2 linked regions of the Schizosaccharomyces pombe genome follow. Each later gene encodes a partner of the first gene's protein in a complex. Each region holds a gene or a part of one and is shown in the gene's direction. Other genes may lie near its edges.

Region 1 (7,658 bases):
TCAACCAAAACTTGGAGAGGGTTTTGGTCGGTCAAGAGAGCAATGATCTCAAAAGCATGCTTGACAATGCGAGTGGCCAAGAGCTTCTTACCGTTGTTACGGCCGTTCATCATCAAACTGTTGGTCAAACGTTCGACAATGAAGCAGCGGGCCTTACGGAACCTCTTGGTCTGGAAACGACCAGCGGTGTGAGGGAGAGGTTGACCATTGCCAATGGTAATGTAATCACTAAATAAAGTTAGAAATTCTGAAATAACATGAAAAGTTGGTGTAAATGAAAACTTTTGTAATTTCCAGCTGCTTTTTCCACATTTGCTCCAAGGTTTAGGTCAAGTAAAACTAGTGAATTGACTGAAAAAAAAAATTACAACAGCATATCCAAGTAACGTATTGTCAGCAGTTCCCTTTCATGAAACCAAGTAACTACAATTGAATTTGTATATTTCAGACAATTCCAAGCACAAAATCTGGAAAGTTTACTAGCAGCTAGAAAACACAATCCCACCTTATACATACACCAAAGAGATATCCTTCACTTCAACACCTTCAAAAGGAAATTTGTTGAACAATTTGATATGTCCAGTTTCATCCAAGGAAACTTCTTTAGGGATGATAGAGGCTGCCATTTCTGTGGTGGTTCAGACGGTAGCTTGTGCAATGTACCTACTAAACCCACACGAACATTTGTGACCGTTCAATAATGAATTAGGGTAGGGTTTATCTGTCGATACTTAATAATGTTTGTTATGTTGAATAAAGTAGTAACTGTTGATTTAACTCAATTGTAATAAATTGTATAATTTTTTACCATTTAGGATTTTTAGTTTTATATAGAAGGCGCTCTATGTTATATTATCTTCACATTTCTACTCTATATGCTGGTATTTTTGGTCGATCGCTGAAGCATGCAAATCGAGGTTAACATAATATTGTTTTGTTTTTATTAACTATTTGAATACTTGTAGCATATAAGTAATACTTCATATACTAGTTTGTAATACTGAGTGTTAATTATATTCCTGATGCAATAATTGCTTGCTTAAAGAATAAGCAATAGCAACATGCGTCTAAATTTCAGCAGACAATTTATTGAATTTAAATTGAACTAATAAATAAAAATATTATATCCATTGAATAGGATAACTATAGAGTTTATGGAATTTCTTGGAATTTAAGCATAATTCATTTATTTATTTATTTATTTTTTTTAATTGTAAGTATAGATGTACCTATTGTTACCCAAAAAAAACTCCAATTTAATAACGAATAAATGATATAAAAAATTGAATTACGGCCTAATTAATTTGGGGTTCTTGTTATCCATTTTTTCCCTATTATACTAGCATATTTTCATGTAATTTGACAGCGCACAATTAGAAACACCCAATTGAGTGTGAACTATTAAACCACCGAAATCTTTTAATTTTTTTTTTCTAATTAAAAAGAAAAAAAAAAGAATTCACCATAATCGCAGTTGTTATACTAGAAAATTATTTTTTTGTTGCCTTTTGGTACTAAAACTCCACACTGACGATAGTAATACAACATAATGCTACCAAGTATAGTTTATTGTAGTCAATATTAGCAGCCAAATTAAAGAAATTAAGAAAAGTTTGAAACGGTCCTTTACTTTGCTTACTTACAAATAATGTGATTAATATTTCAATTCACATTGCGACAAATCTTAGCTCACATTGGATACGAAAAACATTCGACTTTTTGTCAATCTCGCAAACAATTTAAACTAGCAAAAAGGTAGGTAATTTATTTCTTCATTTTTATTGAATTCACAGTTTGCAACTTTTATTCGATGACAATGTACGAGGATTTTGTACAGTACATCAGAATATAGATCTGGAAAGCATGGTCTTGTACTCAGCAATTTGTACACTTGGTTCTTCGAGTCATTTACTTTTCGTAGTTTTCAATTGCCAGCTCACTATTCGGTTCCAAGTTGCTAACACCAGTTGGCGGTAGGAAGGCCATAGAAAATAACTTGCATACCTTTAAGCATTATTTTATTTGTTAAAAAGCAACAAACCTTTCTTCTTCAAATCGTATACCTTTTAAATTTCTTGGATATAACGAGAATCGCTGCATCATGTAAAACAACCCATAATGAAATAATAGGGTAATATTACTGTTATGATTATTTAACAAATTATTGACTACATCGTTATAGATCTTTAACTTGTTGCACTGCTCATCACTACCATTTACACAATCTGGTAAAGCCACCTTGGCTACATCGTTTATCAACTCAGACTGTACAACCTACATTTGTCGCCATGGCAAATTTACCTATAATAGGCATCTATAAGGTGCTGTACAGTTATGAACCGCAAGAAATCAATCCGGGTGAAGAGATTCCAGAAAACGAACGAGAAATCTCGATCGTTGAGGATGAAATTGTTTGTCTTCTTGAGAAAGGTGAAGACGATTGGTATCTCGTCAAACGGAATGTAAACAGTAATGATGACGATGAAGAAATTGGAATCGTTCCTTCAAATTATATTACTGAGGTATGTGTAGAATAAATGACAGAGACCACGGTCTTCTACATGTTTGATGCGATAGGATACGTGAAGGAGAAATAGATCGAGTCTTGTCTTTGCTCATTTAGTAATAATGTTATTGTAAAGCCGCTTGCTAACCATTTTGTGTATAGGCTGAACCCTCAACAAAAATGAAAGCTTTGTATGATTATACTCAACAATCCGTTGATGAAATCTCCTTTCAAGCGGACCAAACTTTAGACTGTTATGGCGACACTGATTCAGATTGGATTTTGGTTGGTTTTAATAATAATTTCGGACTTGCTCCGAGAAACTACGTTGAGGGGATGGATGCGTCCAGCGCCCCGGCATCTCAGGAACCCTCTGCTTCTGGTGTCAACGCTCCAACAGTGAGCGCTCCCAACTCCATGGTCTCTCCTCCACCTTCGTTTCAACCGCCGAGTGCTGCTGCTCCAGCTACTTCCTTGCCCTCTGACTACAACCCCCCACCACCACCACCACCTCCTCCGGCAGTGGAGGATCAGGCGGCAGACGCCAACGAGCCAGATGACTACTACTCCTCTGGCAGAGCCGTGTCTCCTGAGATTCCTCCCACGTACACGCCGAAACAAGCAGATCCTCTTCCGGCTCCTCCCCCACCACCACCTCCAACACTTCCACCCCAATCTACTAATACTTCTCAGCTACCTATGCCTTCCCGTAATGTGAATAATCTTGGCTCCCAAGTTAATATTCCTCCTCCACCGGCCACCCCTAGTCAGCCGCCAAGACCCCCAACTAATGCGTCTACTAGATCTACTGGCACTTCCTCTTCTATGGCTCATTCCTACGACTCCCCTCCTTCTCCTTCGTCGCCTTCAGATGCATATGGAGATCCTAATCAGCATCTCAAATTGCGCACCGATTCCCACGACGATTCTCGAGCCTACGATTCCTCTTCCTCCATGGGTAATCCTGCCTACGAAAAATGGGAGGTCCGTGAAGTCGTTGGCAAGAAAAAGAAACGCACTGGTATTTTAGCAATCAACAATAAGTCAATTGTTCTTACTTTTACTAAGACCATGGACGCTGCCCAAGTTTGGCCCGTTACCGATCTTGTAAATTATTCTTCTGAACGAAAACATGTTTTTATCGAGTTTAATAGTGATTCCGGTATCACATCTTTGCACCTTCATGCGAGCTCTAACACTAATGCCGACAATATTATCCGTGCGCTAGGTGACGTAGCCGGTTCCGCCAGAGCCGCTGGTCTTCGAGAAATCGCTGCCGCAAGTGGAAGCCCTATGCCTAAACTACCTTCAGATTCTGCTTTACACCGATTAAATGCTGCTAGCGATGCAGCTGGTGTAAACGGAGGCCGTACCGGCGATTATGAAATGTCTACTGTTTACGGCGACAGAAGTGCGCGTGCTGAGGACCATAAGCCAAAGGATTCCTCAGCTGGTCAAAAAATGGGTACTGTGCTTTACGACTTTATCGCGGAGGCTGCTGATGAGTTGACTGTGAAAGCGAATATGCGAGTGGTCATTGTCAATGACACAGCAAGTAGCGACTGGTGGAAATGCAGTGTTGATGGTAAAGAAGGTGTTGTACCCAGCAACTTTATTAAGCCCGATACAGAAGGCGACGCAAAGTCACCCCCTTCATCTTCGAAATCTGGTCAGGGATCCTCGCTTTCTAGAAGGGCTTCCAAGCACGAATCTAAACACAAACGCGACAGTAAACATGAAGCAAGACCAGAAAGCAAACATGAGTCTCACCGTGAGAGCAAGTCCGCTGAGAAGGACAAGAAGGACAAGAAGGACAAGAAGGAGGATAGCAAGCGTTCAAGGAGCCATTCGGTTAGTAAACCTGACAGCAGTAAACTGCGTACGTGGACTGATCGAACAGGCGCCTTTAAAGTTGAAGCCGAATTTTTGGGCTATAGCGACGACAAAATTCATCTACACAAAACTAATGGTGTGAAAATATCTGTTCCCAGTGCGAAGATGTCGTACAAGGACCTGGATTACGTTGAATTAATGACTGGCAAGAAAGTTTATTCTCGTACAGAAAGGAAAAAGGATACACAGAAGCAAAGCCATGATCATGGCCATAGTCATAGCAAGTCGCATGATCGTGAGAAGGAGAAAGAGAAGAAGAAGGATAGGGAACATAGGAAGCACAGAGAGACTGAAGAGGAGGATGAAGGTCCACCTCCCCAACCAGCCCGTCCTGAAAGTACTAGACCTGCTCTTGCTCCACCCTCTTCCTCTCATAGCAATGACAAATATGATGTGATTCAGGAAAGGCCCAAGATCTCTTATGACTGGTTTGACTTTTTCCTTCGCTGCGGCGTAGATTTTACCGTTTGTAACCGCTACACCCATAACTTTAACAATGAGCATTTGGATGAAGCATGCATACCTTCTCTAAATCCTGATACACTTAGAACATTGGGATTAAAGGAAGGTGATATCATTCGTGTTATGAATCATGTTAATGAACTCAATGGTGTCTCAACAAAACCTGCATCTGCCATTACTCCAGAAACCAAGTCCACAGTCAACCAAATTATGTCCGGCGGGGAGGCACTTGCTGCCCCAGTCGCAGTACCTGCCCCCATCCCAGCGCCGGTTGCCGAACCTGCTCCTCCAGCAGCACCTGCCAAGGAGGTCGTTGAAAAAGCACCTAGTCCACCAGCGACTCGTCCGAAGTCAACCACACCCCAGAAATTCGATGATGATGCTTGGGCTAACAAACCTGTTACGGAACCCCCTGTTCGTGCTTCTTCTGTCACTGTTGAGCCTGCACGTGTGACGGAATCCATGAACAAAATGAACATTTCTGAGGAAGCCAAGAAACCTGAGGCGCCTTCAAGACCCAGAACTGCACCCATCCCTGAACCTGAGGAACAAAAGAAAGCACCTGTTGAGAAAAAGGATGCGGAGAAGTCGGTCCAAGCACCTATTCCAGCTCAACCAACTGGCAATATTACTATTCAAAATGCATATTTCACTGCTCCTCAACCCATGGCTGCCGATCCATTTCAATCTCCTTTGTATGTACAGCCAACTGGATTTCAACCTCCTCCTAGCGCACTTCCTATCCAACCTACAGGATATATGCAACCAATTCCTGTTCAGGCCACTGGTTATCAACCTTTAATGGTACAGCCCACTGGCTTACAACCCCACATGACTGGAGTTATGCCTCAGGTGACTGGAGTTATGCCACAGATGACTGGAGTTGTGCCACAAATGACTGGAGTTATGCCACAAATGACTGGTGTACAAGTTCAGAAGACTGGGGCTATGCCACAGCAGCCCGTAAACTATGGTTATCAAGTTGCTGGTATGCAACCACAAGCCACTGGTATAATTTCGCAGCCCACGGGCATCCGTGCTCAAGCTACTGGTATAATGACACAACCTACTGGCCTGCATACTCAAGCTACTGGCATGATGCAGCCTACTGGTATGCAACCTCAAGCTACTGGTATCATGCCCCAAGCTACTGGCATGATGCAGCCTACTGGTATGCAACCTCAAGTAACTGGTATCATGCCTCAATCAATGCCCATGCAGCCTCAGATGACTGGTGTGCAAGTTCAAAAAACTGGTATGGTCGCACAACCAATGCTGTCTCAATACACTGGCTACCAGCAAAACTATACTCCTACAGCCATGCCTGCTGCTGATGGTTATGGCATGCAACCATCCATGAACGATACACAGGCATATTATAACATGAATGCACAGACACCGGTGAACTATGGATTTGCTGGAGGTCAAGATACATCTTTCGGTTACGAGCAACAACAAATGTACTCACCTATGCAACAGCAACAGCAACAATACTATGGTACAGAAATGCAGCCTGATATGGGTTATCAACAACCGATGATGTCGAACTATTACGATCCCATGCAAATGCAACAACAGACACCCTATGGATACAATCAAACCGGAATGGAGGGATATTCTGAATATGGCTATGCTCAACCTGCTGGGAATATGGCTAACCCTATGAGTTATGATCCTGTATCGAATGCTTCTTTATACATGCCCTCCGATTATAATCAACAAACGCAGCCTGCTAATTATTATGATTCATCATTTGGTGGAGCGCAAGGTGCGAATGAAGCTGGTAAGAAAGCCAGTATATATCAAGCTACTCCAGACAATCCTTTTGGTTTTTAACGAACAAATATTTTTTGATGAACTTAATAGTTTTGCTTTCCCGAATATTCCTTTCTGTCTTTTCATTTTGCTCGTGTAAAATGGTATAATTATTGAGGTATAACATCTGCGTTAGGTTACAGTTTACGCCCTCTTTTACTTTGTCTTTTTTTTTCGGAGCATTGATTCTTCCCTTAGGCTCTTTAATAAAGCTGCTTTTCATTTAAATCGTAATAATATTTGTTAACGGGCAAATGCGACGATGACTATTGATCTTAGCGCATCTCTAAACATAATTAGATCCCTCTTTCGTTCCTATAGCATTTCAGTGTTCGTGAGCGTTTACGACCGGTCATGATTGATAGAGTTTGATTTTGTTTGAGACCTTTGGAGGTTTTTAGACGTACCTCGGAAATTGTTTCAACGTCTCACTTTGATTTTATATGCATTCTAAATAGATATTAATCTTGTTCTGTCGATTTAGTGTTGTTTACCTTAAATTTTCCACTATGTAGCTCCTACATGTAAGATAGACATCAGGCCCGTCGAGGATAACGCTGTGTAGTAGTAGTGTAGTGTATGTAAAATAAAGGAGACTTAACATTAAACGTTTTTACAAAGAAATTGGTAGTATGCTAGACAAAGGAATTTTATATTTAATCCATCATCGTTACAGCATATTGAATCGAATTGTCTATTTAATTTGCCGTCCTGTACTAGCTGTTACATCACAATCGCCTTTTCGACATACACTTGGAAAACAGGAAAATTCGTGAAATTTCAAGTATTTCATGTTAACCAGTGTTTTAAATTAAAACAAAGAAATGACTTATGTAAGAATCTATGAAGAAAAATCCATTCTAATAGTAATTAGCTTAGCAGAAGCTATTCATTTTACGCCGCTTACCATTCCAATCCCGTCAATATAAAAATCCATCAAGGTGAGATAGATTTTTCAGATAAACTGGTTAAACTAACTTAG
Region 2 (4,905 bases), on another chromosome or scaffold:
ATCGACGGTCAAAAGAACAATCAGTTTCGTTGTTTCCATTCTTTCGTACGTTACGAAAGCAACAATTGGAGTTTGGAAATCAACTTTTAGGGCCTTCACAGCGAAAGTGAAACTAGCAAACTAACTTTACCATGTCAACGTGCTACATGACTCATTTTAAAGTGTATAAAAATATTATTCATATATTTTCATCCGCTATGGAAAAGAAATAACCAATAATCCCCCAAAAGTAAGTAAAAGAAAAGAAAGAGTACATATCTCTATGTAAATTTATCAGAGCATGAACAAAAAACCATTGTTTTAAATCCAAAGTCCGTCAACTATGCAAGCACGGTAACACAGGGCTTTCACTAATCTAGTAACCCTTCTTTTCATTTTATTTTATCCGAAAATAAAAAGCAAAAAACTTTGATAATGCAATAGTGCACGCGATGTGTCCATTTAACTGTAATATACATTTTACTCCATGGCTTCGTCTGCACCAGGTGCGGATTGAAGAAACTCAACAGAAGCACCTTTCTTTGAATAATAGCCCAAAAGCCCAACCTTAAACTCAGCAGCCGTGATTCCAAATAACTTCAGCAAACGTGTTTGACGACTGTCCAGTTGTTGACCTTCAGTACAAAGAGGGAAATCAGCTAACAACGTCACAACACCATTCTTCAAAACAGTAGGCATACCAAGTTGACGAACTTGTGGCTCTAATGTATGGGTCAACAAAATATCATCTTCGACGGGAATTTGACCAGCACGAGAATAAACAGGACCAGCAGGAATAACATGAGTAAAAGGAGCAACAGCGCCAGCGCGAGCAAAGTCGTTTTGGACGAAGGATTCAAAGTATCCAATAACTTCATCGGGCTTAGAGTTTGTGAATAATAAGCCGACGGCACCATGAAGCAATTTTGTAAGCTTGCTAACGTTCTCGGCATGTTCTTCCTCAGGCGTGTGTCCTAACGCCTTTGCCATGACCTTAGTTTTTCCCATAAAAATACGACTACCCTTCCAATCATCACGGATACGTTTTAAATATGTGTTTCTCATATTAGTGACATCAAAAATCCACATCTATTGAAAATAAACAGTTAGTAAAACAGCCATTTAAAATTTTATACGATCGAGTAGAAGGTGTAAACAGATGGGTATTTGTTAGCAGTGCTAATAAATAAGTAGATAATTGGAAAAAAAAGTATAACTTTAAAACCTCAACGAGAACTCATAATCTAAAAAGCTGTACTGTTGAATTTCAACTTCAAAGCATTTGGAAACACCTTCGTACAAAAATAGACAATTCAATCACTAAAAATAAGCATCTAAATCCATGATGCTCGTTTTTCTCATTTTGTAATCCTTCAGCACGATATTTCTGTTACAACTCCTCAACCGAGCCCATTTTCACTTACATAGTCAAACGAATCCAGCGATTGCTGTACTCCAGAGAAAAGAGCAGCCTTTCCTTCATGACCCTTTTTCTCAGTTTGAGCGAGAGTCAAAACTTTCGACCTCCTTGATTTTGGCATTTCTTCCTCTTTTCTCTGCAAAAATTGTTGTTGGCAGAGGTAACGATTTTACCATACTCTTTACAGGTATTCATTGAAAAATGCAGCGCGCTAGGCTTTGATATTTAAGGATAGAGTATTATTGTTGTGCTTAATTGCGTTTCGTAATTTTAACGGGGAAATGCCGCGCAACTTCCGAATCACATCCGGTAGTCTGTGAGCTTACCGTAAACAAGACACGTAGTATGAGCAAACATTGGAAAAAGGTAAAAGAAAGGTCAATATACTGAGTTCTTTTACTTTTCCACTGGCCGTACACGATTCAGGAGAATTAGATATTTTAGGGTATTAAAATTTACTAGAACTCGACATAATGGATCCCCAAGAGAAAAATAAGTATTGGGAAATTTTTCGCGGCTTGAATCCAGAAAATGGCTATTTATCAGGATCCAAAGCTGCTGGAGTCCTCCGTAGTAGTAAGCTTTCAAGCGATAAATTGGAAAAAATTTGGGATTTAGCAGGTACGGAAAACATGAGTTTGCGGTCTGAGTCGTTTAATCGAACGTGTGCTAATGTTACGAATATGGATAGATATTGATGATGATGGAATGTTTGATTTTGATGAATTTGCAATTGCTATGAAAATCACCTTTGATTTGATTAATGGGGTATGAAACCACTTACTTTACTCATGAATGAACCTGTGAAGCATGGATTAAATAAATGTAAAAAGATGGAATAAGATATGAATGATTTAAGAAGACGGCGCTTGCGTAAAGCCTTCATTTTTTCTTTTATCCCTTCCACTTGTTTGATTGTTTTTATTGTGAAAGGCTACCTTTGGTTTTTAGGGTTTCTTTTTTTGTCTATTTTCATCATTTCTAACCATTAGGTTTACAAAACCGTTCCAGATAGAGTACCCGAGGCGTTGGTGTCTACTTCCAAAAAGCATTTAGTAGCAGCTCGAGATGCTCTTCGTGGAAATGATGATATTGCTCTCTTACACAAAGTACCTTCGCTTGATACCGACCCGGAAGATGCCGTTTTAAAAGATGGATTTGATTGGTACATTTCTCCATCCGATAAAATTCGATATTCCGATATTTACTCCCTACATTGCAATAAACACGGAGAAGTATCTTTTAATGGCCTGGCACCTGTATTTACTCCTTTTGGGGTTCCCAACTCTCAAATTCAGAAGGCTTGGAAACTTGTCAATCCTCAGGGTACTGAAACCATACAGAAAGATCAGTGTTTAGTATTTTTGCACATCCTTACTCAGAGATCCAACGGATTCCGTATTCCTAATGATGTCCCGTACAGTTTAAAGGCTAGTTTTAAGAGAGGAAATATCGATTATAATTTAGATTCCTACAACTCTACTAATAACTATTACTCTTCACCTACAATGGCTCCATCTACGGGTGGTGCGAAGCCGAAGAGTGATCTTGATGCCCCGAGGGATGTGAGAGACTCTGACTGGGAGCTGATTTCATTAAGAAATGAGCTGTCCAAATTGGACGAAAAGATTCTTTCCCTTCAACGTGAAACTGACGATGTTAACATTGCACAAAATAAGTCAAAGCTTATTCAACGTGATTTACAGAAAGTACTTGACTATAAGTTGGGTATCCTTCAATCTCTAAAAAATGATGGACCAAATGGCCCCAGCGCTTCCGCCATTGATAATGACTTAAAAATGCTGGAACAACAACTTAATGTTTTGGGACGTCACTTGGAAGGTCGGAAGTCTCAAGTGGCTAAGCTAGAGGAAAGGCTTCGTAGTCTGTCTTAACAAAATCTCGTTTATAAAGCTCATCATCTCAAATACTTGAGTCTTTGGATGTTTTCTTGGAAAATCGACGAAGGTACACTCTTTCTTTCTTTCTTTATTGGGCTTAATAAACTGTTCAAACAGGAAGAGGGAATTGGATTGTAAAATCATTCATTAATGTCCATCATTATATTTTTTGGTTTAATCGATACAAAACTTTTGAATTAGTATAAAAGGAGGAACTTATTCAGCTTTTATAATAAATACTCACTCTCTTTTTATAACAATCTAAAACCTCCTTGAGGTAAATTTATTACCCTGCTGTTAAGAAGAAACACAAGCGAATTCAGAACTATCAACTGGGTAAGAAGAAAAGATAATATAATAAAAACAACAAGCTTCGATTTATAATCTTCTTTTTCTAAAAAAAGTGCACACTATAATGTCTCCCAAAGCCTTCGTAACTCATACGCGTTTCATGAAAAGGATACATCCACAATCCTATTGTTCGTAAGGAGAAAAAATTGAAGAATTTATGCAAAAGAAAGCTCCCTTGTGATTAATATCGTTTACGGTTTAAGGACGACGCTTTGAAAACAACCGTTTTGATGCCCAACCTACAAGAGCTGCAACTGACACCACTGCACCAGCTACCACAACCATTCCAATGTATCCTTCTAAAAACGGGTTAGTAATGATTCTTTTCATTATTTATAACGCATCTTTCTAACATAAACACAACATTCATGCATATGTGATACCTCATTAAGTTTTATTAAAATAAACATACCTTTTGTAACAGCATCGTAAAGACGGTTTTTTAGCTTTAAAGCCTCTGGGCTATTTGGATCTTTGGATAACAACATATTGAGATAACGACGGGATTCTTCATACTGCTTCAATTTGTAATGGGACAAAGCAATGTAGTAGAGGCATTCCAAACGCCTTTCCGGTGAATCTTTGTAAATGCTGCAGAACAAAGATAATCCCTGTTGTACATGCTGTGTAGAATCTGAGCGTACCAATGCCCAAGCAAGGTTAAATTTGGTTTGTAAAGTAATCAGAGGTTGTTCTGCATCGTATTGTTCCTTGATTTGTAGAAACTCATCAACAGAAATAATTGAATCAATAGCAGAAGGATCAGCGAGGCGAAGGGTGTGTTTTTCAGTCATGATGTCGTTATTGCTTCCTATATTGGTCTTTGAATGTGCCTTAATTATTTTAAAGGCGGATTAATATAAATAAACGGAAAATGTTGAAAAAACTACAGTCACTTGAAAAAAAATTCAACAACTCAAATATAAAAGAAGAAAAAAAGGGTTGAGTATGATGCAAAAATGCTAAATTATCAATGTAAACAGCCAATTCCAATTATAAAGGATTTGAGGCGCAAATGAGTGAACTACAAGGATAATGGATTTCCAAAGCAATAGAAAAGTCCAGAAATCCGATTTAGTAAGAATATGGATATGCTTTTTCCACAAAAATTTGAAACAGAGAAGGAATGAAATGAAGATTCGTTTGTGAACGCCATCGCCAACAATTTATGTAAGGAAGAACTTAAGGATATGGCAAAACATTTCACAAAATATTTATTACAAATTGTGGCGTATTATGTAATTCACATTTGCG

What was found.
Region 2: shd1 (region 1) and end3 share a complex: the UniProt entries of both Schizosaccharomyces pombe proteins name them as parts of the PAN1 actin cytoskeleton-regulatory complex.

The regions. Positions count from the first base shown.
Region 1 is NC_003424.3:3,496,761-3,504,418, forward strand, and holds shd1 (Sla1 family protein Shd1), read left to right. Parts: upstream 1-2,262; 5' UTR 2,263-2,288; coding exon 2,289-2,522; exon of another isoform or gene 2,523-2,668; coding exon 2,669-6,697; 3' UTR 6,698-7,155; downstream 7,156-7,658. Other genes in the region: rps502 (40S ribosomal protein uS7), read right to left, coding at 1-228, 517-626; fatty acid alpha-oxygenase Mpo1, read left to right, coding at 7,501-7,509, 7,551-7,617. UniProt on the Schizosaccharomyces pombe protein: Component of the PAN1 actin cytoskeleton-regulatory complex required for the internalization of endosomes during actin-coupled endocytosis. The complex links the site of endocytosis to the cell membrane-associated actin cytoskeleton.
Region 2 is NC_003423.3:1,757,347-1,762,251, reverse strand, and holds end3 (actin cortical patch component End3), read left to right. Parts: upstream 1-1,872; coding exon 1,873-2,020; intron 2,021-2,090; coding exon 2,091-2,167; intron 2,168-2,391; coding exon 2,392-3,294; 3' UTR 3,295-3,849; coding exon of another isoform or gene 3,850-3,950; 3' UTR 3,951-4,063; downstream 4,064-4,905. Other genes in the region: mRNA turnover and ribosome assembly protein Mrt4, read right to left, coding at 460-1,068, 1,404-1,520; protein Fis1, read right to left, coding at 3,850-3,950, 4,064-4,445. UniProt on the Schizosaccharomyces pombe protein: Component of the PAN1 actin cytoskeleton-regulatory complex required for the internalization of endosomes during actin-coupled endocytosis. The complex links the site of endocytosis to the cell membrane-associated actin cytoskeleton.